Linked DNA regions of Notamacropus eugenii. The protein of the gene in region 2 purifies or fractionates together with the protein of the main gene of each other region. This does not show direct contact. Links are inferred from orthologs where the notes say so. Each region holds a gene or a part of one and is shown on either strand. Other genes may lie near its edges. The genes, in order: COP1 and DET1.

Evidence for each region.
Region 1: the proteins of DET1 (region 2) and COP1 purify together in Homo sapiens (affinity purification with western blotting; 11 studies listed by BioGRID and IntAct, counting the BioPlex papers as one, with this or other methods). This does not show direct contact. The link is inferred for Notamacropus eugenii from reciprocal best matches to the Homo sapiens genes DET1 and COP1.

Annotation. Positions count from the first base shown.
Region 1 is NC_092873.1:470,075,858-470,091,088, reverse strand, and holds the start of COP1 (E3 ubiquitin-protein ligase COP1), read right to left. Parts: upstream 6,629-15,231; 5' UTR 6,478-6,628; coding exon 6,053-6,477; intron 1-6,052. UniProt on the Homo sapiens protein: E3 ubiquitin-protein ligase that mediates ubiquitination and subsequent proteasomal degradation of target proteins.
Region 2 is NC_092872.1:168,072,701-168,088,101, forward strand, and holds the start of DET1 (DET1 homolog), read right to left. Parts: upstream 6,848-15,401; 5' UTR 6,656-6,847; intron 4,834-6,655; 5' UTR 4,819-4,833; coding exon 3,733-4,818; intron 337-3,732; coding exon 146-336; intron 1-145. UniProt on the Homo sapiens protein: Component of the E3 ubiquitin ligase DCX DET1-COP1 complex, which is required for ubiquitination and subsequent degradation of target proteins. The complex is involved in JUN ubiquitination and degradation.

The DNA.
Region 1 (15,231 bases), on a different chromosome or scaffold from region 2:
GAGGAGCAATGAAAAGGTTTGGAAGTCATCATGAGTAAGATGGTAAGTCAATTAAGGAAGCATAAAAGGATTGCCTTGCTGGAGCAAGGGCTCAGCTGAGATTAGGTAACATAAACTTGTAGTGGATCCAGTCAGTATAGTTTGGTAAAAAATTTTCTCCAGCTTTGTTTAGCAGCACATGCATAGGAACAAAGACAGCAGATGGTAAGAGATCTGAACCCAAGTGATCCTGATTCTGAAATCAGTCCTTTATTACATATACTACATGCTTCCTCGCTAAATATAAATTATTGTTTTATTACTTTTATGCTAAGTAATTGTAATATAACTCTGAATTAAACAAATCTCTCTTCTGTATCTCAGATGTCATATCTATAAAACATAATTTAAATTATTTCTCACTGACATTAAGACCTCTAGATGAAATGTGAAAATAATTTTAACACATGGCAATCACAGTTTATACATAGATGGTTTACCTCCCAACAACTCTATGAGATAGATGGTACAGATTATCATCCTTATTTTATGGATAAGGAAACTGAGGCTCTGAGATAGTAAGTGATTTATTTGTCCACAGCTACTGACAAACCCAGGAATTCTACAGAAATCTTTTCACTGTAGATCTAGAGTTTTCACTATGGCACATGATCAAAATGCAAATAAGTAATACAATGAAAAGTACAAACTATCTTAAATGTTTGTCTCAATTTTGGTATACAGTAATACTGCATACATTACCTTCAGCTTTAGGTAGCATTTTCTCTCTGCCCTGTAATTGGTAACATATCTGTCACTTAATGAAATTCTGATTAACATCATTTAAAATTTATCTAGTATTCAAGAGAAGAGTACTGTACCCTTTAAAAAGGGTACAATGAAAATATCAAAATGAAAGTATCAATTCACTCAAGGCTCAAGGTGGTTTCACACATCAGTGAAAGCTGATAAAATAGAAATGAATGAAATTATCAGCAGGAATTACCTTTATTCCAACGGCCAAAACCAGTAACATTTTCCAATCCATAAAACTGTCCCTAGACACCAGGAGGCAGTCAGATAACATGATGAATAGATTGCTGGGAATGGGGTCAGGAAAATCTAAGTTCAAATTTGGCTTTAGATATTTACCAGCTGTATGACTCTGAGCAAGTCAAACTCTATCTGCCTCAGTTTCCTCAACTGTAAAATGGTGATAATATTAGTACCTACCTCAAAGGGTTGTTGTGAGATCAAATGAGATACTTCTAAAAGGTTCAGCACAGTATGACTTAGAGTAGGCACTTAATAAATGCTTAGTTCATCCATCCATCTATCCTGGCCCTATCAGAAGTATCAAGTTCAATTTGAACTCACTACGCTACTCTCTACAGTGGCTCTTTCAAATTTCTTCATCCCTCCTCAAACTTCCCATGGCTCTCATTTCCCCCACCCTCTCAGCTGAGAAACTTGCCTCATATTTTACAGAAAAAATTGAAGCCATTCATCATCCCCTCTTCCTCATCTCATATCACTCATATGCCTTCTACCACCATCTCCTCCTTTACCCCTGACTCATATAAAGACTTGGCTTATGCCTTACTAAGGTTAACCTCTCTACTTCCATATCCCTCCCAATACCTAGAGAGTAATCATGTCTCCACTGTCTTTTTACAACCAACTGCTCATATGTTATGATCTCAATGCAATCAGGGTTCAATTCCCAGGCAGGGAAAAATGACTTCATTTTGAAAGCAGCCCATTGTAGGAGAAAAAGCAATGAATTCGGAATCAAAAGACCAAGGTTCAAGTCTAGATGCTGCTACTAGCTGTATCATGGAGTAATCATTAAATTTCACTAGAGGAGCTATAAGACAGAAAGAATAGTGGAGACAAGTGGAGACTTGGACTAAAGAATACCTGGATTCCAATTACTAGCTGTGTGACAATGACCAAATCATTTTCTCTGACACTCAGGTTTCTCATCTACATAATGGAAATAATACTATCTCTTGCAATACCTACTTCACAGATTAAGATAAGGCTTAAAGGGTAACATATGTAAAGCAATTGGTAAACTTTAAATTAATACATAAATGTCAGCTATCATTACAGTAATTATCACTAAGGTTCCTTTTTGCTCTAATCCTATGATTGAGTTAAGAAAACCTGCAATAAGTTTTCCCTGATTCTCTCTTCTACCCCAAACTTTTATTAGTCATGTCAGACATGGCATGACTTTGATTTTCAACTCTGTAATGCACTTCAATCAATCAATAAACACTTAGTAAGCACTTACTATTTGCTATGCTAAACACTGGGGATACAAAAAGAGGCAAAAGACAATCCTTGTTCTCAAGGAATTTACAATATAATGGAGAAGCCAACATGCAAACAAATACATATAAAGCAAGCTATATACAGGATAAATAAGAAATACTTAACAGAGGGGAAAGCACTAGAATTAAGGGATGGGGGAAGACCTGCAATAAAAGATAAGATTTTAGTTGGGACTTAAAGAAAGCCAGGAAGGTCAGTGATCAGGGCAGAGGAGGGAAAGCATTTCAGGAATGGGGGATATTCAGAGAAAATATCTACAGCCCAGAGATGGAGTGTCTTATTCATGGAACAGCCAAGAAGCCACTGTCACTGGATCAAAGAGTACATATCAAGAAGTAAAATGTAAGAAAACTGAAAAGGTAGAAAGAGACTAGGTTATAAAAGGCTTTGAAGCCGAACAGAGACTTTTGTATTTGATCCTGAAGGCAACCAGGGAGCCACTGGAATTCACTGAATATTGGAGTGACATGGTTCATTGCACTTGAGCTTTAGGAAAATCACTTTGGTGACTGAATGAAAGATGGACTGCAATAGGGAGAGACTTGAGGCTGACAGACCCACCAGAAGGCTACTGAAATGACCTAACCATAAGGTGATTAGGGCCTGTACTAGAATGGTGGCAGTGTCAAAGAAGAAAAGGGGGTGTATTCAAGAGATGTTGCAAAGGTGAAATCAACAGGCCTTGACAACAGATATGATAGTGCTGAGGGGAAAAAAGACTGGGGTGGGGTGTAGGAGGAGAGAATTAGGAGTCCAGGATGATTCCTAGGTTGTGAGTCTGAGGGACTAGGAATAAGGAAGATGGTATTGTCCTCTACAATACTACGGAAAGCAGAAGTGGGGGTGGGGTGATGTAAAAGAGAAAGATAATGAGTTCTGGTTTGGATATATTGAGTTTAGGGTATTCATAAGACATTCAGTTCAAGACATCTGAAAGGCATTTGGAGATTTGAGACTGGAGGTCAGCAGAAAGATTAGGGTAGGATAAGTAGATGGGAGAATCATCAGCGCAGAGATGGTAATTAAATCCATGAAAACTAGTGAAATCACCAAGTGAAGTAGTACATAGGGAGAAGAGAAGAGGGCCCAGGAGAGCACCTTGGGAGTACACCTACAGTTAAAGGACATGATCTGGAGGAGGATCCAACAAAGGAGGCTGAGGAGTTGGTCAGAGAGAAGAACCAGGAGAGAGGGGTGTCTAGAAAACCTAGAGACAAGAGAGTATCAAGGAGGAGAGTGATAGTGTCAACAGATGCTATGTCTGTGTCTTATCTCATTTTTTCATTTTATCTTTGTATCCCAAGCTCCTTGCACAGAATAGACACTTAATAAATGCTTGCAGGATTGGGTTGTAAATTCCATGAGAACCGAAACAGTAACTAACTTAAAACTTTGTATCATTCTCTCCAAGTCCTTAGTCCTCTGATCACTGTTTCATTTTTTTTTTTACTTTGTATTACACCAAAGGTCTATAATACCCGGCTTACGAAAGGTGCTTAATAAATGTTGAAGGAAAGAGAGAGTCAAGTCTCACCTCCGAAGCTAACTAGTCATGTGACATCGGCCAAATCACCCAGCCCATCTGAATTCCAGCAGCCTCATTCACTTCCTCCTCTGTCCTACTTTTCATGGTATGGAGGTGACTGGGTTTTTTAAGGTTAGGCTAAAGAAGAACAGGCTTTGGCAGGTCCTATTAAATTGTAAATGCTTCAACTACCAATCTGGAGACAAAAAACCAGCCTGTCAAAATCGGGAGGCTCATCCCCACAAGGCTGGTTATTATTATTGTCAGCTACAGCAACTCATGAAGGCAGTCTACTAAGATATAAATGACTGCAATCTGCATCAGTAGAAGGATCATTGTTATACACGTGATTATACAAATGTAAGTCATTAAAATCAACCTCCAAATTCCACGACAATCATCAATCTAGACAACTTTAGTTATCATTGTATCAAAACTACAGACACTGAAGAGAATCCCAAATTCCAAACTGCTCTTTATGTAACAATCACTTCTCTTTGGGGGTGAAGCCCAACTGCCCCATGCCCCTCCCCCCAAAAAAACCAACAACCATGGCTATTAATTGCCACAGATAATTTGAATCACAACCATCCAACCTCTAATAACTTATATACAGTGGAGAAGGCAAGAGGGATAAGTATTTATAAAGAACCTACTATGTTCTTCTATCCTAAGTACTTTTTTACAAATATTATCTCATTTGATCATCACAACAATCCTGACAGGATTGAGGTGGGTAACCGAGAGGTAGGTGCTTGTTATTACCTCCATTTTACCGTAGAGGCAACTGAGACAAACAGGTTAAGTGACACACAGCTAGTGTCTGTGGCTAGATTTGAACTCAGGGCTTCCTGAGTCTAGGCCCAGCCCTCTACTCCCTGTGCCAACAGTCGCCTCAAGCCACACTGGACTGGAATCAGAATCTGGTTTCTTATCACAGTTCTCATGATTACTGGCTGATGGACAGTGGGTGAATCATTTCACCCATGTGAGCCTCAGTTCCCTCTTGTGCAAAATGGTAATACTACTTCTTATACTACTAAACTCAAAAGGTTTTGGTATCATCTTTTCTACCTTCCCAGTCTTCTTACACTTTTACTCTTCTTCAAGAACTCAAGCTGGCCTATTTGCTGCTCTTCACATATGATGAAGCTCCATCTCTCAGTGCTTGCAGTGCACTCTCTTACTTCCATCTCTTGAAATACCTGGAATCCTTTAAGACTCCACTCAGTATCATTTTCTGTGTGCCTTTCCTGATTCTCCCTAACCACTATTTCTCTCCCTACAAAAACCACTTTCAGTTTGTTTCGTGCATACTTGAATATGGGCATGTGCACATCTCCCCATTAGACATAAGCTCCATGAGGACAGAAACAGTTTCTTTCAGGTTTGTTTTTTTTTTTTTTACACTTCACCTCCAATGCTTAGCACAGGCCCTCGCACCTAGATGCTTAATAAACACTTTATGATAAATCTTAAAGTGCTACAAACTGTGTTTAACATCATGTACAATATATGTGGTACACTGAAATACACCTAAGACATTAAAAGATAGTTTTTCATTGACTTCAAATACGCTAATAGTCTCACTGGCAAGATTCACTGTACACAGACGATGAATATGAGTTAATAGTGAGTAGTGATAGATCCTGTACATTTGTGTATAGCTTAAACAATGCTTAGCCCATCTACAGGTAATCAATCAGTCACTCAGTTACCATTTATGAAGCATCGCGGATATTCCCGGGCACTGTTGTTAAGCACTGGGGATACAAATAACAGCAAAAAAATAGTCTACTTTCAGAAAGTTCAGTCTAACGGCACTCCATATCCCTTTCACTTAGAGCAATTCCAACGCATTCTCTCTAGTCACCATCCCCTCCATAAACTTAAGGTTGCCCAAAGAGTTCACTGCCATTCCAAGGGCCTCCATCCTCACTCTCAAACTTCACCAGAGACGCCCTCCCACACTTCAATTCCATTCAACAAGTCTGGGAGCTCCTACGCCTGGTACTTGCTGAACTGGGAGCTCTGACTTCCTCACTCCTTCCTCTTAATCCTTCTTCTGCCCTCCCGGTGTAACTCGCCACCCACCAGGGCTGCCCCCCAGGGAGGGCCCCCGGACCGCTGGGCATCACCTGCTCCCCGCCGATCCCACCCATCCCAGCGAGAGAAGGGGAAGAGGAGGAGGGATGCTTCTCCACGCACCAGACGAAGTCGTTGCTTTTGTCCTCGTACGAGTTGATGAGCCCGTTGCAGAGTGGGGTGTGCAGAGGCCGCTTCCTGCTGCCGCCGCCCGAGCTGCCCCCGCCGCCGCTGACGGCGCTCCCGGGCCTGGCGGAGCCCCCAAGCCGGGAGAGGCCCGCGGCCAGGGCCCCGCCGCCCCCGCCTCCTCCGCCGCCCGAGCCCGACACGGCGGCGGCCACTAGCAGAGGCCGTACGGCGGCCCCGAGGCCCCCCGAGCCGGCGGCCCCGCTGGACCCCGCCGCGGCCACCACCGCCGTTAGGGACGGGGGCGACGGCGACGACGACGACGAGGACGACGACGACGAGGCGGAAGTGACTGAGGAGGCCGCGGAGGAGCTGGGCCCTGTCCCGGCAGCGCCGGGACCAGCCTGGCGGCTGCCGGACATCGTAACCCCCCCTTCCCCGGGCTGGGTACTCGGAGGAGAGAACGAGGGACCGGGGACCGGGACCCGCCGCCGCCGCCGCCTCCCTGCAGCTTCAGTGCATCCTGAGGACGCGCACAGCGCAGGGGGCGGGGGCTGCCACCGGGGAGGGAACAATAAAGTTGTTTAAAAAAAACCGAACACAAACGGCGGCCCGCGGGAGGAAGCCGGGCAACTCGAACACCGGGAGGGGGAGGGAGGGGGAAAAATGCGCTCTCGAGGCCGCAGCTCCCACCCCGAGTCCTGCGGCAGCCAACCCCGAGCGAGGCCGGCGAGAGCGTGCGCACGCGCACTCTAGACGGAGGCCGAGAGAATGGGGAGGGCGGAGGAAGCCCGAGAGGTACAACTTTATTGGCAGCAGCCTCCGCGCTCATACACACAACACACACCCATGGCGGCGGCGACCACTGCCTAGCTACGGAAGAATTCCTTGTTGAAAGCTTTATTGATTCACGACGTACAGCAGAAACTGGAAGTGGGGCCGGGGTAGGAGGGCAGTGAGCAAGGGGCGGGGAGAAGAGAAGCGCCCAGAGTAGAGAGTGGTCCACAGTGCCCGAGCCCAGGCAAGCGAATCGGCCAACGATTGCGCAAGCGCATTACGAACCGAGCATATCCTCATTCCTAAGAGTGAGGAGACCTAGAGGGGAGTCTGTGGTACGGGGTGGTTTCCGACACTGCGCGTGCGCAGGATTCCCAAGCATTCCTGAGGGAGGAGAGGGGGGAGGAGGAGGAGGAGGAGGAGGGCAAGGACCGAGAGTCAAAAAGGAAAGTTAGCTGATGAAAGCGGGCGGAATGTTCCAGCGGAGAAAGCGAGACTCGGTACAGAGCCAAAGATGCCTTCAGTGGTGGAGAGGGTGCAATTTCAGTTCCACTCACATCTATGGTGGAGCTGGCAATTAGAAGACCTGCACTCCAGTCCACACCTCTGCATCCTCCTCTGCGCCTCCGGGCTTCCCTGAATCCCTTCAAGTCCCCAAAGAACTTTCTACAGGAAGCCTTTCCTGATTTCCCCTTAATTCTACTCCCTTCCTCCTGTGGATTATCTCCAATTTATCCTTTATGTTGCTTGTTTGCATAAATTTATTGATATGTTGTCCCCTCCATTACAGTATAAACTTCAGGAAAACAGGGGTTGGTAGGCAGTTGCCTACCCCAGAGGGGGTATTTAATAAATGTTTATTGACCAAGCCTCTCACCTCGCTTCTCTGGATGGACCTCATTTTTATCATCTGCTAAACGAGGGAATTGGGCTAGATCCTTTTCAAGGCCAACTTTTCTTTGATCCTCTAAATAGAGTTTTCAGTTTTTAACGAACCCTGTTCAAAGTTTGTGGAAGACCTTAAGAGTCCTCTAGGTGCTTGCCCTAGGAAAAGCAAATTTCAGGAGAGGTGAGGCCTTGGTTGGGCATGAGTGGGAAGGCCCAGCAACCCAGGCAGTCATCTGGACTGCCTTTATGGAAACTACATTGTTACAAAGGTAACACCCAATATCTTCGGACACACCTGCCCAACCTACTACCTACTTATTGAGCCAAACCCAAGGATTACGGATTAACCCCAGCATTCAGGAGTAACGAAATACCAGCCATATTCTTTCAGAATCTCAAAAATACCTAAATACCACCTTAACTACAAAGAAAAATATTATGAAATTAAAATATAGCTGCTTGTCATCATCGACAAATTTACATATGCCACTGATGGAATCATACCAGTCTGCTCTAAAAAAGTGAAACCTTTGGCAACTACATCAGTTCTTAACATGAGGTTAATATATAGATTCCAGAAGGTTCATAGATTGGTTTAATTACTATTTTGACCACTTATTTCATTATAATTGCCTTCCTTTGTAACTTTATGCATTTAAAACATTTTGAGAAGAGGTCCTTACCTTTCCCCAGACTTCCAAAGGGTATCCATCACACATACACATACACATGCACATACATACACAAGGCTAAGAACCCTTAAGCTGTGAAGTGGTTTGGTTAATATAATCTTTTAACACCAGCACCATAAATGGATCTAATTGTATAAAATCCTTAAATTTTGAGATGAAACTTTAGTACTGCTAAAAAGCAGTTTCTTGAACAAAAGTTTGTTTTATAGAAAATACAGTGGATATTTTATAAGTCAAATATAAATTAATGCTAATTAAGTTGAATATAAAACTAAATCTAAGTATCCTCAGCTAATATTTTATTGAAAAGTTATTATAGACCTAAGGCAACATGCTGGATATTGGGAATAAAAAGCTTTTCCTTCAAGGAACTTGATATATGTAAGGATACATGAGAAGAAGGAGAAGGAGCCATCAAATGAGTTGTACAAAGAAGTAACTGGGACAGTCAGCTAGCATTTAGTGCCCACTCTAGGCGTGGAATGTTGCATACATTTTCACACAGTCCAGTCAATTCAGCTAGTATTTATTAAATGCCTTCTGTGTGCCAGGCACTGTACTAAGCAGTGGGGATGCAAAGAAAGATAAAAGACAGTCCCTACTCTCAAGTCTAATGGGGAGACAATATGCCAGTAAATAAGTGAATTACAAGACTTAGGATAAATTGGAGATAATCAAGGTTTGAAAGCATAACCATTAAATGAAATAGAAAAAGGCTTCCTGCAGAAAATGGGTCTTCAGATGAGACTTGAAGGAATCCAGAAGGAGATGAAGGAGAGAGTTCTAGACATGAGGGACAATGACAACACTGAAAGCAGAGAAATGGGGTGTCGTTCAAGGAACTGCAGGGAAGCTGGCATCACTGGTTCACATGGTATGTGGAAGCAAGTGAAAGGCATAAAGGACATCCATACCAGGCAGTTACCTCTTCTGGGAGAAGGTGAGATTTGAGTTGGACCTTGAAGAAAGTAGGAGACTTAGATAAATGAGGAAAAGGAGAAAGAAAAATCTAGCTAAGATTGTACAAAATTGAGATTGTGCATGGTGTTTCAAAGAGCAGTAGTGACAATTTTGACAATAGTAGAGGATTCATTTTAAAGCTGAAGAGATAGAAAAAGGCCATACTGTGGAAGCCCTTGAATGACAGACTAAGCAGTTTTAATTTATCTTCTAAACATGACAGTAGTGGGGGATAGCTAGGGGGAAGGTATCAAAAAAGGGCAAAGATAAACAACGTATTAAAAATATTGACAATTGGTTGTAGAATAGATGAGGATGGGGGGAAAGGTGGAAAGAATTGAAGGCAGAGAAAGCTGGTAGGAGACAATTACCATAGGAGGCTAGGGGTCTTGACAGTGAATATACAATTAAAAGGGGTCTAGTCAATTAAACAGACTTTAAGGAGAGAAACAAATCAAGGAAAATTTAGTAACTAATTGGATAGTGGGGGAGAAATAAGGAGAAGTAAAAAATTACTCCCAAGGTTTCAAATTCACATAACTGGGAGAATAATGGTACCTTTAACAGAAATGAAATTCCAAAGTAGAGAACTAGTTAGAGGGGAAATGATAACTTTAACTTAAACAGATTGAGTGAAGTTAAAAGTGACAAGGTGAGGATACAAGTCATGCTGCCTAGCAAAGAGGATGAAGTTCAAAACAAATAAAAAAGACTAGTGCTAGAGATGAAGAACAGGAAAGGTTCATAAGGTAATAGAATTTAAGATTGGGAAGGCCTTAGAGATCATTTCTAAATCTCTCCTTTTAGAGTCATGATTAACAGGACATAATTTGACATATTCCCTGAAGTCATGATTCATGGAACATAATTTGACATATTAAATTTGATATATTCCCTGGCCTGTAATTGGAAAATTGTAAGTATAATTATTGTGAAGGAAAGCAACAAGGGACCAACTAATACATTTAAGGAAATTTGTCATTGTCCTTATCAATGCTTATTCAAATGCCATCTTCATTCATTCAGAATTAAGATCTCAAAGGAAATGAGTGAATGGGATACAACCCCATCTTCCTTTTCAGCTGGAAAAATGTACAAAGAATTTAGTGCTACATAATTCTTATTATTTTTGTTGGCAAAAGTTTTTCAACATGAAAGCAGATTTTGAAATGTGAGAAAGCAGAAGGGAAAACCTCAGAGTCACTAAACAGGAAAGTACAAAAAAGGAACTCAGAAACACAACAAGAAAGGAGGAATAAGGAGAGTAGAGGGTGAAATAAAAGAGGTATATGAGAATAGATTCAATAAGAACAAAAAAAAATGAAAAAATGTTCCAAAAACAAAAGATAGTACACTATAATGAATCTTGTGCCATGTATGATTAAATCACAAGTCTTTTAATAATGGCCCTCATCTATTCTTTTCAGTGTTCTAAGGTTATCAAAGTGTGAAGCATGAATGCATGCAGTCCCAAAGTCCATTGCTTGAAGCACAGAGTCCTTATTGGGGGAGATGAATACCCAACCCTACAAGGTAACATTAAGAGCTCTCTCTCATCCAATCTTCTTTGGGATTCTCAAAGCTTCCCCTTACTTTGCATGCTCTGTCTTCCAGCTTTGAGAAGGAAAATGGAAGAGACCAACTATACTCAAGATTGATGAGAAAAAACTCTGGGAAAACTTGAGAGGAGCTCGCAGACTCTATCATGTCCCTATCCCTAGCTTGCTACCCTAGCAACTTCAGAGTTTCTCCTTGGGTGAGATCCAGAATTCTCTCTCTTAGTTGAGCTGAGTTATATTACTCCCAGTAGGAGAGTGCCTTCGCTACATGTTGTCTGGTATATGTTCTCCTGTGTATACTTTTGGTGATTTCTGTTTTGTTATAATTTAGATAAATTGGGGGTTTTTTTGCTGTTTGCTGTGGATGTTCATTGTAGAACTGGTATTTGGTGGGAAATGGGTCAAGCCTTGAGAGTCCTATTTCTCCCCAGTAATCAGAAGTTAGTTTAAAACTGATTGTATCCCCTAGACTAACAATATTTAAGAGAGCAGACAGATAAAATTTTATCTCCATACCAACTCTTTCTGAGGAAACCAGAGTGGTGACCTCTGGGCCTAACTTCCTCCTTCCTTGCTGTCAGAAATTAAAGTCTCCCTTAATGAAAGGCTGGGAGAGAATAGACCAAAGGTGTTTATTCTGCCTCCCTTCAAGCCACGGGACAACACTCCCTTACTATATGTGGGCCCTTGCCACACATGGGGCTCCCTCTACATATGAAATCACTGGATTCTAACAATGACTGAGCTGTGCAGTATAAGCACTATTCCCATTTTATAGATGAAGCAACCTCATCTTAGGGAGATTAATTAATTTGTTCAAGGTCCCTTATCTAGTAAATGACAGAACCACTTGAACTAGGAGTTCTGATATTCTGACTTCAAGTCCATTTAACTGGCCACTAGAATATTAGCATTTGAGGACAAGGGCTGGGTTTTTTTTTTTCTTTTTTAACAATTAAAACCCTCTGCTAGGCCCAAGGGACTCAAGGTATTTTTTTCCTCTCCCTCTCCACCTCTAGAGCCAAGCACTCAGTTGGATTGGGTTCAGTCCTGAGGGATCCTGGACCAATGAAAGGAGTTAGGCTCCCTTTTCTCAACTCTTTGACTCATTAAATCTCAACTCTGGTTCCCTGGGATCAATTACTTAAAGCTCAAGTTTGACTCATCTCTAGGGACTCCCCAAAGAGTGGAGCAGAAAAATATTCAATGTCCAATGTAAATCAGGCATGAGATAGATGTTTATTTCTTCATGTAATAATTAAAATCACTGCTGAGGCCTAGGGGTTGAGTTACTGCACCCTCTCCATCAAGGGACCCAATATGCTCTCAACCCACATGTGCACTCTGGCCTACGTTCAGTCTTGTGGGAGTCTAGCCTCTAATGAAAGAAGTGAAGCTTCTTTTCTCATAATCTTCAGCTAGGAAAACTCCCAATTCAATGCCATGGGGAAGATTTACTTAAAGCTTAAGTTTGGCTCATGTCTAGGCCTTCTCCAAAGAGATCTGGAGAAAAGAACTCAAAGTAAAATATGAATCAGGTATAGGACAGGTATTTATTATCTACAACAAGTAAAATGCAAAATCTCAAATATAAAGCATACGTTAACAGAAAGACTTAAAACAAGATTCAGGAATTTCACTGAAGTTATTCTCCTAGGAAATTTATATTTAAACTTCATCAGAATATAAAGCACTTTGCATATTAAGAAAAAGCATTATTATATTTATCCTCAGTTCTGTACCGTTCCTTCAAAGTCTATCTCTACTTGCCAGCCAAGACAGAGTTTTGGTTTCTCCTCCTGTCAGTGGTCGTCTTGACTGATGCAACAATTTCCCTATCAGTCAGTTCCATCCAATGGACCCAGAATCTCTTAAACTCATAAGTGATCTCTTAAATTCAAAAGGTCACCTCCAAGTCTAGACATTTCCATCTCAATATCAATGTTCATTCACCTGTCCTCACCTCAGGAAAGAAACACAAAACAGAAGAGTCGTCTAGGGCTCTGAGAACCTATCTCAAGCTCACTTAGGCAGGACAAGTGCTACAGCTTCAACAACAGTGATAGTAATAAAAATTAGCACTTATATAGCACTTTGCAAAAAGCTTTACAAATACTATCTCATTTGAACCTTACAACAACCCTGAGAAGTCAGTGTTATTATTATGCCTATTGCACAGATGAAGCAACTGAGGCCAACAGTAGTTAAATGACTTGCCCAGGGTCACACAGCCAATAACTACTTGGAGTCAGATGTGAACTAAGATTTTCCTGACTCTAGAACTAGCACTCTTTCCACTGTGCCATGTAGCTGCCTCCCATATCTCTGCTCGGAATTATATGATGCCACCTGGAGGGTTAATAGAAGAGGGAAACAGGATCAGACACTCCCTTTTCAAAGGTCCAGACTCATTGACTCTTCCTGCTCAGTAGCTAATAAAGGGATTGCTTCATCATCTCAAAAGAAAGTTCAGTGCCAAATCACATGTAGCTAGCAAAAAAAAAAAAAAGGGGAGTTTGCCGTCCCCCAAACGCCCAAGACCTGAGCTTGCATACATTGTTGGCTCGAAGCAAAGAGGGAAGCTCTCTTCATGACTTGTTTCCCCAGAACCTAGAATAGTATCTGGCATGTGGGAGGCACTTAATATTTGTTAAACTGAATTGAAAGTTTGTGAATTAAACAAAACAAAAAACCCTTGTATTCAGAACAATTTATGTAGTATATACAGATACACACACATATACATACATATACATATGAGAATGGAAGAAATTTTGTTTTTATATCACTTAGAATTCCCAATGCATCCTACATCTTCCCTGTCCCAGAGGGCTACTCTTTATAACTAAGAATAAGAGATGAGTCGGGGGTGGGAAGGGTATGAGAGGAAGGAGAGTGCAACCGATTTTTTGAAGCTGAATACCAATCCTACAGGACTATTGTGTGTGGAACTGGAAGAGCCCTTGGAGATCATTTAGTCCTAAGAGGCTCAGAAAGTGAGCTTGCCTAAGGTGACTTGCCTAAGATCACACAGCAGTATACAATACTTCTCCTGGAGTATCTCTGTTACCAAAACTAGACTTCTCATGAGACATCTTTCTGGTGGACATTGATGTGACCCACAATGATCTAAATAGATATTTTACAGAGAAGTAGTAGCACCAGGTCTCTGACTACACATAGATAGATCTATCACTCTACTGAGTTCAAAAGGGATGAAACCACTTCCTCAAATATCTATCTACACATGTGTATATATATACACACACACATATGTGTATATATATATACATGTATACATATATATGTACATATATGTGTGTGAGTATATATAATATACACACATACATACATAGGTATATACTCATATATGCCTATATGTGTATATACCTATATATACATACATGTATAGATATAAATATGTGTATATATGCCTTTTTTTCTTCAGAAGCCCAATCAGTCCCTGCATCAATAAGCATTAACATGCTAGCATTATGCTAGACATTATAAATTCTATTTTTTTAAAAATGAAAATGCCTGCCCTCAAAATGCTTATATCTTACTGACAGGATACATAGCTGAACACAGGATATATACTCATAATAAGCATTTCAAGGCCTATTTGTATGAAACTCTCCTCACTGATGGAAACTGATTATTCAGTGTTCCATGCCTGCATGAGGGATGGCAGGACCTTGGGAGAGAGATCATAGTCTTCTGGTTTCCAGGTTTGAGAGAAGATACTACAGGTCCTAGGCACTCTTAAGATCTGGGAGAGAGACCAAATACCATGAGGAAATCCTTGGTTTGAGAGATACCCACGAGTGAATCTGAAGAGAAAAGCAACTCCACAGGAAATTCAAATAGAGGCTAAAACGTAAACAAACAAACAAACTAAAATCCGATCCTGGTCACAAGGACGGCAGGAGTAGCTAGAAGAAATGAAATGAGATACAGAATAGAAAAGAATGATAGGCAAAATTAGACATCTTAGAAGAAACAGTGAAAAACCTCATCTAAGAACTGAATGTCCAGAAGAATTAGAATAGGTCAAACAGAAAGCAATAATTCGATAATGTGAGAAATACTAAAAACAAAACCAAAAGATTGGAGGAAAGCACAGGAAAAATGTAAAAAATATAAAAATAATTGACCTGGAAAAATAGGTCAAGAAGAAATCAGTGGGCAAAATAAAAATAGAAAGGATCTTGGGTTACTTCTGGAAAGAAATCCCAAAACAAAATTCCTAAGAACATCGTAGACAAAATCTAGAACTTCAGGGTCAAAGATAAAATACTAT
Region 2 (15,401 bases):
TCCAAGTCTCCTGACCCTTGGGTCTAGCACTCTTTCCACTATCCCACAAAGCTTCACTTGTAGGTACCCAGTAACTGTTGTTGGCCTATGGCCAAAACTAGGTCAGGTGAGGTGTACTTGTTGGAAGCTTAGGTTGGTAGCTCACCGGCGTTGGATCTGCCTCGCAAAGTTGTTGCTAGAAGCTGAACAGGGAAACTGGACGGCTTCACTGTGCAGGGTAGCATTGCGGAAGAGGTCACAGAAATTCTCAAAGAGCTCCAGCAATTCATCCGAGGTATTCTCAAATACTGCTATCACCTCTGTCGTCACCATATTGTACACAACAAAGAAGGAAGGCTGGAAAGGGGGAACACATGTAACTGTTAGCCAGCTGAGTAAAACCCATGGCTAGGATGACCCTTCACATTGGGCTAAAAATTCAAGCTACTCAAGAGAAACAAGAAAATGTTCCTACTGTATGGGTCAATGGGGAAACAGGTCCCATGGCTCCAGGTGCCTCAGGGAGCCTCCATTGACTTTATCAGTCAAATGCCTCTACGATGCCACATTCCCCACTGTAATTGTGTTGCTGAAATTATCAAGTTGGCCAGTTTAAAAAAAAAAAAAGGCTTTCAATCTTTCATTTCAAACTGTGTGCTTCAATTTCCCTCTCCAACTGTTTCTTCTTTCTCTGCTCCCCAACCCACCCTGAGATGAAAAAAGTCAGTTTTTAAAGTGCCAGATTTAATTTTATTTCCTGCTGGGGAAGTGATTTACAGCCCAGGGTTGGCTGCTGACAGATTATTTTCTCCTGTGTATGTACAGTTGAAGGTTCATTTTTTGGCATCTATTTTTCCTCTTAACATTTCCAACATGCAGAGAGGCACCTTAAATGCATTGTGTTTTGAAACTGCCTCAGAAAGTTGTGTCCCAGCAGCATCCTGCTGCTGGACAAATGAAAATCCAGAGAGGCATTTACTGTTTCTTTCTTGACAGATGCTCTTTTGGCCAAAAGCATCTGTATTATCCATGTGGGATTTAGAGCAATTAGAACCATGGGGGGGAAAGAGGGAGGGCAGAGCAGTGATGGGAGACAAAGAAGCAGAAGGACCTGAAGCTCATTCAAATGCCACAGGTGGAAGTACCCAGAGCAAGTTGGGAGTTCAGACTTTTTCAGAGTGGGCACCTGGATGTCCAATTCTTTCAAACTGTTCTTTAGTTTGCTCTGATCAGTCTGACAATAAGAGAGCCCCAGGATTTTTCCAAGGTCAATGGAATGCCAAACTAAAAATCATCTTTTGGTTTCATAGAGGAAGATAAAGTTATCAGACATTAAGTATTTTTTACTTGGGTTGGATCTGAATCTCCATTACCCATTCCTGATGCAAATAGTTCATGCTACAATGTGACATTTAGTATAGCCAAGATATTTAATCTGCCTATAATGTAAAGAAACTGAGTAGCAATCTGAGACCAATTTCCTAAATACTACCCCAAGGCTCCTTATTTAAATGTACTTTTTACTCATTCATCTTCATAATATCCACAGAAAGTGATTGATTTTACAGGAAGTAGGCACAGAAGTTTCAGGCTGAGGTCACAAATTATGTAGAAAAAGAACTGTACCCTAGCATCCTAATTTCTCAAGCCATGATTATTCCATATCAGTCCAGAAAAAAAAAAGGGGAGGGGGTGTTTTAGCTAAGGATCAAAGGATAATTCGATTGTGATGAATATGATTTGGCAATTTATCACCAAAATGAAAATTATCACCCAAACCTAAATAATGGGTTTTCTTGCTTCACATCTTGTCTTATATGTATCTTTTCTACAAATCTGGTTCAGCTCTCTGATTTTGTTGTTTTACAAAGATATTATAGGAAAAAAGGGAATTTAGCTATGCATGTTAAGTGATTATTACATGAATTACATGAATATGCAACAGGGTTTTCTTCAGCTAAGGTTTTCAGAAAAGTAAAGACAGACAGGGTTCAAGGAGCAAAGGACTGTGTAGCAAATCTTTTGAGCACTGTATTCTAAAAGATAAGTGTTCACTAATAATGATTCAATGGGCTCACCAACAGATAACTATGGGGAAGAAAATAGATTTCTGGGATGATCATGATAGTTTCCACTAACAACTGAATCTTTTTATAGAACAAATAATCCACTACTCTCAAAGGAAGGAGATTGAAATTATTTTTCCATAAGCTAGCTAATAAGCTTTTTTGAGTCCTACAAAGACCTCCAGTAGTGAAACGTGGTCAACAAGAAGATCTAGAGCTAGGAGTTCTTAAGTTAGAATCTATGAACTTTAAAAAATTAGATCACACTATTTTAATATAACTGGTTCCCTTTATAATCCTGTGCATCTTATTTTATGTATTTAAAAACATTACTCTGAGAAGGAGTCCACAGCATTCATCTGCCTGCCAGAGGAGTTCAAGACCCAAAATCGTTAAGAACTTACACTCCAGATCATTGGTCTGAATATATAGTTTTTTTCCCTGCTATGGACAAAAGGGTCAGAACTATTTATGAAATGATATAACACTAGGAAGGCAAATAGCACAGACATCAGGCGAGCTGAATTCTCCATCTGTCAAATTCAAAAAAGGCAAATTCCAAGAAGAAAGGCAGTCTACTCCAAGATCAAATTTCAAATAAATTATTTCCTAGGTCCTTGGGTACTCTTAAAACTTAACTGATCTCACTGATCTTTGAGAGCTCTCTTCTTCCTATAAGCACATTCAAAACAGTGAATAAGCCAGTTTTCACCAAAACTGAATAGGCAAGAAGCTAGATATCAATTTTACTTAATATGAGAAAAGATTAGCAATGTAGTGGCCCTTTCACATACAGTCCAGATTATTCAAAATAAAAGAGCTTGTGAATCGTGAAGCACTTCATTTACTTGTTTTGATTTTTTTCAATGTTCAGTAGTCCCTCTTTTAGCATGGGGGCAAACTCTGTAAAAAGAGGTGAAACTCAAAGTAACCAAATTATGTTTATTAATTGCTTTATGGAAAAGTCTAGTGAGGGAGCTGACATTTTAATTACTGAATTGTGAAAATGAGATTTCCAATTATTGGAACATTTCTTTTTACCCTGGTAGTCTGTCCCCATTAGTAGAGCTAAATCACTCAAGGTGGACAAATTATCCATGGGTAGCAGAAGCTTTACTGCTAATAAATTTTTGGCCTTTCTCCGGAGAACCCTGAAAATACAATCACCCCAGACGCATCAAAATGAAATGAGACACATATCCAAGAAAATCTCAAAAGGACAGAGTTTTAGCATGTATCTGCATTATAGAGATCTCCCAGAATCTTGGGAAGGAAAAGGAATTTCTAAACATTATCTAATCCACTCAAGGAAATAAATAGAGCTAGAAAAATATAAACTTGATTTTGGCTTTTGTAAAACCAAAGGTAAACAAAATTTAAGACTATGCCAGGTCCCTTGAGCTAGCAATGCAAAAACAGGCAAATGCAGACATAACGGAAAGAACACATTCAGGAGTCATAGAACCTGGATTCAAATCCCACCCCTGGTGCTCATCACCTATGTGACTTTATGCAAATCATTTAACTTCCCTGGGCTTTAATTTCTTCATTTGTAAAGTGAGAGAGGCTGGACTAGACCATCTTTTGAGTTCTTTCCAGGGCTAGAGCTAGGATTCTAAGATCCTACAGCAAATATGTATGGTCCCTCATTCTCAGTCTCTCAATATGGCTGAATATCATCCAATACCTGTGATGGGTCTGTGACCCGTAGTGTCACTACATCCTCACTAGTGTACTTGATAAAGAGGTGATTTTCATCTAGAAGCTGCATCTTCCACATGCGCAACTGTCGTAGCTGGTCAAAATACTGGAAGAAGCGCCTCTTGGCCATGGCACTACCATCCTGCTCTGCCCGGCGCCACAAGTATACCAGTAGCCGGTGCTTTAGGGAATTAATGAAAGGCTCCTTGTAGGGGTTGGCCATGCCTGTTTGGCTGTCTCGCTGTACCTCAGGGTAGACAGCTGACAGGGTGAGCAGGTCATCCTCATAGCAGAATCGACCAATGGTACGGACATCAATAAAGGTGCCCTCAGGAGTGACTTGGAAGACATGAATGGTCTGCTGCTGTACTGAAAGAATGGCTAGTATGTTCTTATATAAGTATAGCCCTTGATTGTGGGACAAGATCACTTTATCACATTTGAATGTGCGGGTGTCACACAACCTGCCAGTGTGAAGATCAATGATATGAAGGGAATAGTCCTCCAAAGGGGAGCGGGGATTTGGTGTCACTGACTCACTGTTGCGATAAACTTCATAAAAAGGAGGATGAGGCTCTTCAGGGAGGTAGGCAGCTGAACCCACAATGACACAACGGCAGTCATCTGTGAAGAGGCTACACTCACGATTTAGGTGTTCACCATTAGCCGCAACATTGGTGATATGCAACAAGACGAAGAAGCGTTCAAAGAGTCGGCCTCGGATGTTGACTGACCTCTGGTCATTGCCATTAGCCAAAATTTCACCCTCATAACCCTGCAGTAGGTCCTCTGCTGCTTGGCAGCCCTGGTACTCGTAAATCTCCAGTGATGTCTGGTCTGAAGAAAAGGCAATAAAGTAGCGCCCATCAGGTGAAAATTTTCGCAGGAAGCAAGGTGGCTTCTCCACATTAACCACAGTAAAGTTGGGGAAGACGTTCTGGTGGAACACTCGAACCTGGTGCCAGTGGGTACCAGCCTTGCCTGAACTGATGCGCCGACGCTCCAAGCGGTGGATAACATTTTGGTTCTGGATTCTTCGAGGTTTGATTGTTGGAACATCATGATCCATCATCACAGCATCTTATTTCTGGATGATTAAGAGCAGAGTGTCACACATAAAATGAAAAAAAAACAAACAAACAAACCAAAAACCCAAGTTCCCTTTCCAAACACACATCATCTCAGGGTTTACCTAAAATCTTCCACCTTTAGGTCACAAGGAAACAAGAGTAAACTTCAAGTCTGTCCTCAGCATGAGAATAATGGGAAGAGCTTAACACACTAGAAATATCTCAAGAACGCTTAGCTATAATGTGTTTCCATCAAAAACATCTGAATCACCAGAATATGTGAATTCAGAGTAAGAATTCCCAGTTAAGAATTCCCTTCCCTAAAACATATGAAGTCATTTTAAAGTACTGCTCTCACCTTAACATTATCAGTAGCCCCAATGTAGAGCATAGACTTTTAAAGAATGATTTAAGAAGCATTAATTCAAATTTAACTTCATTTGAAGACATTTACTATGCATAGTACTTGGACTACAATAAATGCTTGATAAATGCTGGTGATTAAGCACTTACTATTTATGAAGAACTATACTAGGAATTATTACATGCAAAACACTATTTGATTTAAAGACCATGACAAGAGTTTGGTTTCTCCCCCACTCTACCCCCTTTTATGCTGCTCTTCTACTCTAAGAGAATCACTCAAAATTAAGCCAAGATGAAAGTTCAGAAACAGTTTCATAAACCTCTTGTTTTCATACTGTGCTTCTTCCATTTTTTTCCGCAATGTCCTACTGCCGCCTCCCCCCAACAGCATTCAACCCCTCAAAAAGGATGTTGGAGTGGTGGGAAGAGGCCCCTGGCTTCTGATTAAAACTCTCCCCCCCATGCTGGTTTTCTAAATTACTAAGACTCTGGAACTCAATTCACTGGATCATAGGATTCAGAGATAGTTTAAGACAAAAACAAAACCTCAGATCATCTAGAATAAGAAGCTTCTCAACCTTTTTCATTCGTGATATTCTTTGGCTTTAAGGAAACCTTTCAGTTTCAATATGAAAGGAGATATTCTAGAGTTTACCATGCAAGAGCATGTAAGAAATAAAGAGACTCGTTTTTCATACAGAACACTTTATTCAGCGTGTAACACTTTTAGTATCATAAAATAATCACTAATACCACTACTTTTGGACTATTTCAATAAAAAAGCCAAGATATTTACCACTTATTCCCTCAAACCCCTCAACGAGAGGCTCACACCCCGGGGGGGCGGGGTACTTCCACCCCAGACTGGCAAACCCTGATCTAATCAAACCCTTTCCTTTTCATAGACTAAAAAAAAAACTAAGGTCCTGAGGGGAATGAGGCACTTTGCACGGGTATGAACCTAGCTCTTCTGCCTCCCAATCGGCTTCTCTTTCCATGACATCTCCCTGCCTCTCTTATCTATCTTTTCCAGACTTAACCATAGAGGAGTTGGTTTAAGGGCAGTCTCTCCCCATTTCCCCAAGAAGAGGAGAGAGCCGGCGGCAAAGGTTACGGAAAGCGGGGAGTGGGTGGAGTCCGGGAACACCGTGGTGCGGGGCACAAAGCCAGGCAAGGCCGGGGCTGGGCCCCGGGCCCCGGCCCTTACGCCCGGCTGACCTCCGAGGGCCCTTCCCGCTCTAAGCCCTGAGGCTCCGCCAGAAGGGGGAGGCCAGCCCGCGGGGAGCACGACTTTCAGGGGCAGCTGGGCTGGGGCTCGGTTAAACCTCGGGGCGCGGGGGTCCGGGGGAGGGAGGCCGGGGAGGAGCGCGGCCCAGGGTCCGGGCGGCCCGGCCGGCAGGAGGGGGCCGCTGGCCGAGAGGAAGGCCCGAGGACCAGAGAGCCGACGAAGCGGGAGAAGGGGAGCGTCCTCACCCGTCCGTCCCGCGCCCCCCGTCGCGCCGGGCTCATGAGGCCGGGGCGAGGGGATCCCCGGGCTGCGCTGGCCGCACTCCGACGGCCGCCACGGCCGCCGCCGCCACCGCCATGTTGCCACTGACGCCGGCACCCGGCGACAACGGCCGGGATGGCCCCGTTCCCCCCCACCCCCCTCCCTCAGCCGGCCCACGGAAGTGAGGGCCATAGAGTTGGAAGCGTGCGCAGAGAGCGCACCATCGCCTGCCCGGCAAGAGCGAGCGCGCCCCCTGGCGTCCGGAGGTGAGGTGAGCCCGCCTGAGCTCTAAGCGACCACGCCTGCTGAAATTGACTCCCTCCTTAGCAGCCGTTCCCGTTGCCTGTTTGCTGCTCCTGGGGGCACAGGATGATGGAGCGGAGCTGAAGCACGCCTTTTCATTTTACAGATGAGAAAACTGAGGCCCAGAGGAGGGGGGTCACACTGCTAGTGGAGCCAGGATTCCAACCCTAACCCCCTCATCACCCGTCATTAATTACCCTCTGTATGACATTCATTGTTTTGATTCTTCAGACACCGTTCAATTCCATGTCTTGTTACAATGTAGCAATGCCCAGAGCCTGCTGATATTTAAGAGATGGGTGATTGTCGGGGGAGGGGAGAGAGAATTCAGAACTGAAAATATAATAAAATAATGAAGCAAAATAAATTGTGTATAATAAAATAAAAATGAATTTTAAAATATATGTTTAATTTTAAAAGTAAAGCATGGCCCTTGGCTTTCATGGGAACCTGGGTCATTAAAGTAACTTTGTAATTTCCTGAAGGAAATCAGCTCGTGGTCCTCCTGTTCAACTCTGCCCAACTTGTCAGTCAGTATTGTCTGTCTCAGGTATACATATTTGTGGACAAACCTCATAGGTTGCATTATAAATATCCTCTGGATATTGCTAAGTATCTATTAGATTTGAAACATAGTAGTAACATATTTCTTGTAACATTATTCTTCTCTGGAGTTAAAAATGACAATCACATAGAGGAAAATAGAGAAAAGTACAGTGGCTGTGAGCAAGCTATAATATATGACCAATGATGAACTTGGAAGAAGACCAAGAATAAAAATGCCAGGAAAATCAGATGGGCTGGTTATATGTCATGTGGGATTATGGCTACATATCTGGAGTAGTCCACTATTACCTTCCCAATGTTAAAAAGAAAGACCTCCAGCATCATAGGGGGGTCTTCTGTGGTGAATTTTTTGCAAGACATGAGCAAGTCATACAAAATGGTCAAGCATGAATGGATTGCAATCTGAATAGAGAAAGGCTTCCAAATCAATGAGATCAGAGATCCATTTGATCAAGAGTTTCCTCTTGGCCAGATCAATCTCTTTAAGATACAACTTGAAGGTAGCCATCATTTAATGGCTACCATTGCTTACTAGGATAAAATGGAAACTTCTGAGCCCTTCCTAGTCTCTAGACTCCTCAGTCTTATAGTCTACTGATCTCATAGATGAAAGAACTTTCAGATTTAGCCTGAATGGTCTGTTCACTGGTTCTTAAACACTCACCATGTTTCAATTAATAAAAATAGGCGAAGTGCTTACTATATGCTAATCACTTTATTATGTGCTGTGGATAGAAAGACAAATATGGAAACAGTCTAGTTCAAACTTCTTTCCTCTATCATAGCTTTATCTGACCATATTTTAGTTGTTCGATTGTTTCAGTTGTATATGACTCTTTGTGGGTTTTCTTGGCAGAGTTACTGGAGTGGTCTGCCATTTTCCTTTTCAAGATCATTTTACAGATAAGGAGAGTGAGGGAAATAGGTTAAGTGACTTGTTCAGGGTCACACAGTTAGTAAGTCAAATCTGATGGCAGATTTGAAGTCAGTAAGATGAATCTTCCTAATTCCAGGTCTGGTAGTCTATTCACTGTACCACCCAGATGCCCATTTCTCTAACCACCCCAGCCCACAATTGTCAAAAGTCGTGGATTTATCAAGCCTGCAAAGTAACCTGAGGAAGAGACTAGAGATGGAACTTGCCAGTCAAACCAAACCATAGCTGTCACCTGAAGCATCTCCTTCCCTCAGATCCCAGTGGAGACAGGTCAAGACACTTCACCTAAGGACTCCTAAAAAATGAATACTCTCCCCTACTGTCCCTTTCCAGTCTGTCTGCCCAGTCTGATCATCTAGCGGGGCAGCCCTTGTGGGAAAAGGGGCCATCATATCCATCACTATCAACTGCTATCCAGCTGGTAAACCCAAGAGCCCTAGAACAGTAGTCTCCCCAAGTCCCTCTCCCCAACCCCTAAAGACCACTGTTTCCAAACTGGCCCTGTAAGCCATCAAAGAAGGGGTCAACCAATGTGGAGACTGGCAACCTGGCAACTTCCTCTGCAGGGGCTGCAGCCCCTGCTTCCTCAGTAATCACAGCTACTAAAGTTCCAGAGACCCTTTTTCTGCCAAACTAATTTCCACTTTTCACAGTAGTTCTTGGAGACTAGGGAATGCATCCCCTGGTAGTTTATGTTCTTGTGGTTATAGAATACAGGGCTACTGTGCTGGATTGCTTCTGATACTTGTTTATCTAGTAAGTTCCACTAGTCTACTGTTCTGGTTTATTTTTTTTAAAGCTAGTACCAAATAATTTTGATGACCACTAGCATCAAAGATAATGCTATACCTTCTTCATTCTTATTTTTCCTTTTTTTTTTTTGAAATTTTAGACCTTTTGTCCCTCCAAATGAACTTATTATTATTTTGTCTAGTTCTAGAAAGTATTCTCTGGGTAGTGTGGTATAGCACTAAACTACAAGTTATTTTAGGTACTATTGTCTTTTTATTAAATTGCATAGTCCAATCGTGAGCACTGCGTCTCAGTTCAATTATTTGTCTCCATATTTCTGCAGAGACAGTTGTGGCATAGTAGATGAAGACCTTACTCTCAGAGCAATGCTTCTGACACGCACTAGCTCTCTGACTCCTGACAAGTCACTTAATCTCGCAATATTCTAGGTAATTCCCTAAGACTGACTGAAATAGTACAAAAAGTTACCACATACAGGAGATCTTTATAGCAGTAAAATCGCAGATCCTGTCCCTGCCACTATTCTTATTTCTGTAAAGGACAGAAAACACATTTTCTAGTTCTGGTTCTGTTGCTAATCAGTACGAGACCTTGGGCTATCAAATCACATCACTGTCTGATCCTCAGTTTCCTCATCTTCAGAGTAAGATGAATATATTTGATGGACTCTAAGGTCTCTTCCAAAAACCTTATGTTGTTATGATCTCAAGTTATGTTATGATCTTAGCTAATGAATCTGACTTTGAAGTCTTTACCTCAATGTTTAAAGGCTATAAACAGATAATATTTACTAGTTGTGTTTCCTCTTTTATCAATGAACATTAGTCCATTAACCTACACATATTCAAATGGAAAAAGTAAACAAAATTGTTGGTAGGTGTGTAGGGAAATAGTTACCTCTTGAAATATAAAGTAGGGCAATATTTCTATAAAGCAATCTGGTAGTAAGAAACAAAACATCTAAGACTGGATGGTGCTCGTTGCTCCAGTAATCTCATTATTGAGACTATATTCCAATGAAACACTTAAGGGGGGGGGTAATATTGGGACAAAGTTCCTTATAGAGGTCGTATGATCCAGACCTATAATTTCATAGGTTGGGGGAATTTCCTACACTAATGTAGATCAGTGACTCCTGTGAAATTTATTCTCTTAGAGAGCTGCCTGCTTCACTATGAGGTTAAATACCTTCCTTGTTCTCGGTTATAAAGTCATTATGTTTCGGAGGTCTCTCTGACTCTAAAGCTAACTCTCTATTTAGCTGTATTATACATAGTAGCAAAATACTGTGTGTGTGTGTGTGTGTGTGTGTGTGTGTGTGTGTGTGTTCCTCCTTCGTTGCTGAAGAAGACCATGCCATCAGAGAAATAATGACATGACTTGCACTTGACTTTGTATACTAGACACAACCTGAATGCCCAGTGGCTGGGAAATTAGCATAGTTAGAATTAGAATATGGGAAGGTAGGCAGCTGCCAAGGGTACAACATATCTGAGACAGAGGTTTTTAATGTTACTTTTTGTAGTAGAAGCCATCTCCCTAATATACAGCAACACTAGAGGGGGGAGGGGCGAAAAGTGGTACTTCACCTCCATCACTCACCTCCTTGCTCTAAATAAGGCAGGAAACAATCAAAAGTACTTGGAATAATCCATCCAGTTAACCAAACTTCTCTACTAGTGGGCAATGCTAATCTGTAGGCAGTGAACACAATGCCCTAAACTGGAGAATACATGATATCAGAATAAATTTTGCCCTGAACTAACCCCATATCAATAACAGAAACCCATTCAAAGGTGAGAAGGGAGGGTTTATGTTCCTGACTGCCGGGCAAGTTTCATTGTAAAGCCAGGACTATCATAACCATAGTGAAAATTTAAAAATTAAAGCTTCAGTCACTAGTGACTACTTAGTCTGCCTTGTATTTGAGCTGTGAATCTGCCACAAGAGAGACTTTCAAGAGCCTCATTGAGACTGGAACAAAATGAAGCTTCTCTCTTATTGCCCCACTCCTGACCCTCAGAAAAGGAGCTATCTGATATGTTCAGTATCTGCCAGGAGACATGGAAAATTACAGGAGCTGTGGTGACCAGCACCTTTCTGGAGAGCAACAGGAAGAGTGATCCCTGATCCTGGTGGCTGGGAATTTCAGAGCGCAGCAGTGGAATGAAGACAGGTTCTATGCCTAGTTCATGACTATAAGGGACTGAGTCTGTACAGGTCACTGGGGAAGGGGCTGTTCATTTGCAGGTGTTGATTTGTTACCTATTCACAAAGGGTTCAATTTGTTTTCTTGTCCATGTAAATATATTTTTCCATCTTTGAGTGTTGTGTACTATATGCTTATGCTTATGCTTATGAGGGGAACTGATAACAACATAATGGTTGGTGTCATTTAGTGAATATCTCAAAATCTCTAGGTAGTGGCCATGAGCCAGAGATTTGAGAAATCCCTTTAAAGTTTCTTTCTTGTCTTGGAAGAAGCTCTGATTCAAGGGTTATATTTTGATAAGTAAGTCTATTTTAAATTCCAGAAAATTATGCCCTCTACGGCCCTGAGATTCTATTTTGGTCTAAATATAGGATGTATCCCTATATTCTTTGAAAGGAAATATCTGTATATGGAGTAGTTCTTTCTGAGATCCATAAGGCCACGAAGATAACTTCTACTTAGAGGGTAGATTCAATCTGATTACTGGAGATGCCCACTTTTTCTGTCCTAGTTGGTTCAGACCGGACCTCTTATATTAATTAACACATAGTGCATCCTTGCCTGGGATGTCAGAGATAGGAAACCAATCAGACTTGCCCTCCAGAAACTGTCTCTTCTTATAAAGCCTATGGCTTTCAGCTACCACAGGGAGCTACCTTGGTACAAATAGTTCAAATTTCTTTAGCTTTTTGCTACTCGCTTACGTTTGATTCTTATGTCACAGCTGCATGACAGACAGCATGCTTAGTGAGGGTCTAAAGTAGAATGTAGCAACTATTTGACTAACGTCATGGTTGAGTGGGGTTGTGCTGAAGACCTTATGGGGTACAGTAGTTTAGATCCCCACTAAAAATTGGTCCAACAGCTGTTACAACAACCCAGTAAGGCAGATGCTAGTATAATCTCCACTATGTGGCTCAGGAAACCAAGGCTCAAAAAAACTCCATAGTTTACTCAGTCACCCAGTAAATATTTAAGCTAGGATTTGAAGACCAGTCTTTCTGACTCTGACTTCAGTGATGACTGACATTCTGACATCCTGAACTGGCTAGGAGTCAGTTGGAGATTGGTGGAGATAGATATGATGAGTCTGAGGGACTGTTTCTCTGAAAGAGTAACTCTCCCCAAAATCAAGCTGCCTGGGAGTTCTTCAGACCACTCAGGTTGTATTCTTTCTGCTTTGTCTTGCTCCTGGGTATTCTATCTGGGGCTTTGAGCTTCTTTTTGTGTGAGTAGAAACCTATGCATTACTGGCCTGATTCTGTTGTGAAACTCCATCTAAATCCCCAGACACTTGTAAAGGTCTGGGACTATAAGTATATCCTGAAAAGTAACGCTGCTTAGAGTTCCCACTCAGGTTTTACACATTCAGGATTTGGGAGTGGAGTAGGGTAGATAGGTAGTGGAGTATACCTGATATTTAAAAGTTAATCAATCTACAAGCATTTATTATATTCCTCATATTCCAGGCCCTGTGCATTGGGTTATAGTATATAAAGAATGAAACAATCCCTACCCACAAGAAGCTTACATTCTAGGGGGGGAACTTACCAATAAAGCATTTACATTGTGATAAATCAAGCCCCATGTATTTTAGCAAAAGTTCAAAACTCCTAATGGAAAGTAACACACAAAGGGAGCACTTTTTAAGCAGAGAGAGACACAGTTTCTAAACATTGAGCAGGGTTCAAATACCAAACAGAGAGCAATAAAACTACTAACTGGTTCTGAAATAGACAAACTAAGGTAACATGTCAATGCAGGGGATGTTGACCTGAAGAATTTCATATGTCTGCATACAGTATTATATATAATGACAGACTGCCTACAACATATAAAAATGATACAAGGCATACAATTTCATATGATCATAATAAAAAATACAATTCCATATAATCATGATAAAAAAGTATACTAAGGAGGTATATGTACCTATTAATTTTAATAATGAATGTTGTTTAATAAAAATTGTGCTTAATAAACTTTGCCATAGAAAATAGTCTTTTGTTTTATTTATGCACACCAATATCTGTTTGAATGTCTGAGAGATGGCTAGGGCAGAGATACAGACAAAACATGTCTTTCTCAGGGCATCATCAACCTAAGGAAGCTGCCTAGAGACTCCCACCTCCCAAGAAGCCACTCATTTATTCCAGTAATAAACCCATTAGTAACAATGCTCCTGGAGTGCAGAGACTGGTTCATTTTTGTCTTATATCTCCAGGTCCTGAGAGGCAGTATAATTGAGTGTTCTTTTTTTGTGTCATGGACTCCCTTAGCCATCTGGTGGACCCCTGTGGATCTCTGTGGACCCCTTCTGAGTGTGATTTTTTTTAATGCATAAAATAAAATAATTAGAATTATAAAGAAAAGCAAACATTAGTGAAAATAAAGATTTTGTTTTCTCATCCAAGCTCACTAATCCTCTGAAATCTATTCAAGGACTTCTTTGTGGACCCTATGGTAAGAACCCCTGGCATCATGCATAGAAAGCTGTCCATAAAGTCAGGAAAACCTAAATTTAAATAGTACCTCTGACACACATAGGCTGTGGGACCCCAGGCAAATCACTTAACCTCTCAGTGCACCCCAGCAATTATCCAAGACTATACGTTGAAAAGCAAGTGCTGATCTGCATTAGTAACAAGACTTTCCTCATTTAGAGATCTCTAGTCGAAGGAAGTCACAGGTCTAGCCCCCAAAATTAATCTACAGTACCTGGATGCATATTAGGTACTTAATAAATGTTCATCAAATAACAAAATGTCTTTTTAAGAACCCTTAATGGGAAAGTTCTTAACTTGGGGTCTATGAGCTTTTAAAAAATATTTGATAACTATATTTCAATATAATTGGTTTCCTTTGTAATAGTACGCATTGTATTTGTTACATTGAAAAACATTATTATGAAGAAAAGATCTATTGCCTTCACTAGACTGCCACTGGTATCCGTTTCCTTAACACACATAAAAAGGTTAAGAACCCCATGGGTAACCCATCTGACCCCAGGGTACTCTAGGATCATTGGAAGAAAAAGCCAGGAAAGTAAACCTTTTATCAGCCTAAATGATTTCTAAGGAAAAAATTGTGTATATTTTCCCTGGGAGTGATCGAGCATCTTTGCATTTCTTTTGGTCTTAGTTACCATAGGACCCTCCTACCTACCACCCTTTGAACTTCCTATTCATAGTTTTCTATGAATGCACAGACATCTCTGTGCAATACTATCAACCAGTCAGTTAACAAATATTCATTATTATCACTGTAGTATAGGCAAAGGTTATATATCTTCTACTAATTACACCCAGGACCAACTTCTAAAATGGGGGCAAGGAGGGATGTAGGATGTTCATTCAATCACACAGTTTAAGAGCAGGAAGGATCTTTAGAGACAGAGAATCTAGTCTAAGCCCCACATTTTACAGATGAGGAAACTGAGATCAGCAATGGTTGTGATTTAATATAGGGTCAGACAAATAGTAAGTTCCAAGATTTGAACCCAGGATCCAAAATTTCAAATGCAATACTCTTTCTATTAGACTATAAAGCCTATTGATAGGGATATGAAGCAGGTGTCATGTTTGTCTCCAGGTACAAGGGGCTGCAGCTCCCCAGGTCTTTCAGTCTGATGAAGAGAGGGGATGCGCTGCTCTCACCTTTCTTAGGACCTGGTGGTATTTCCCCAACTCCTAGGTGACTGGGTCATGGGAGCCTGTGAAAATAAAACCCTATACTTTAAGTAGATCTATCTCCCCTCCCCTTTTAATTTTGTTTCGTTGATGTGTTTTTGTTTTCATATTACAGATATTTACAGATTACTTCTACTTCTTGAGAGGTCTCTTCTAACAATGAAAAACAGTTAAATTAAACTGAAAATATAGTGACCTTATCTGAATGTACATGCCAAGAACATGGGATGGCTGGGGGCAGGGGAAGATTGGATATTTGGGATAACTAA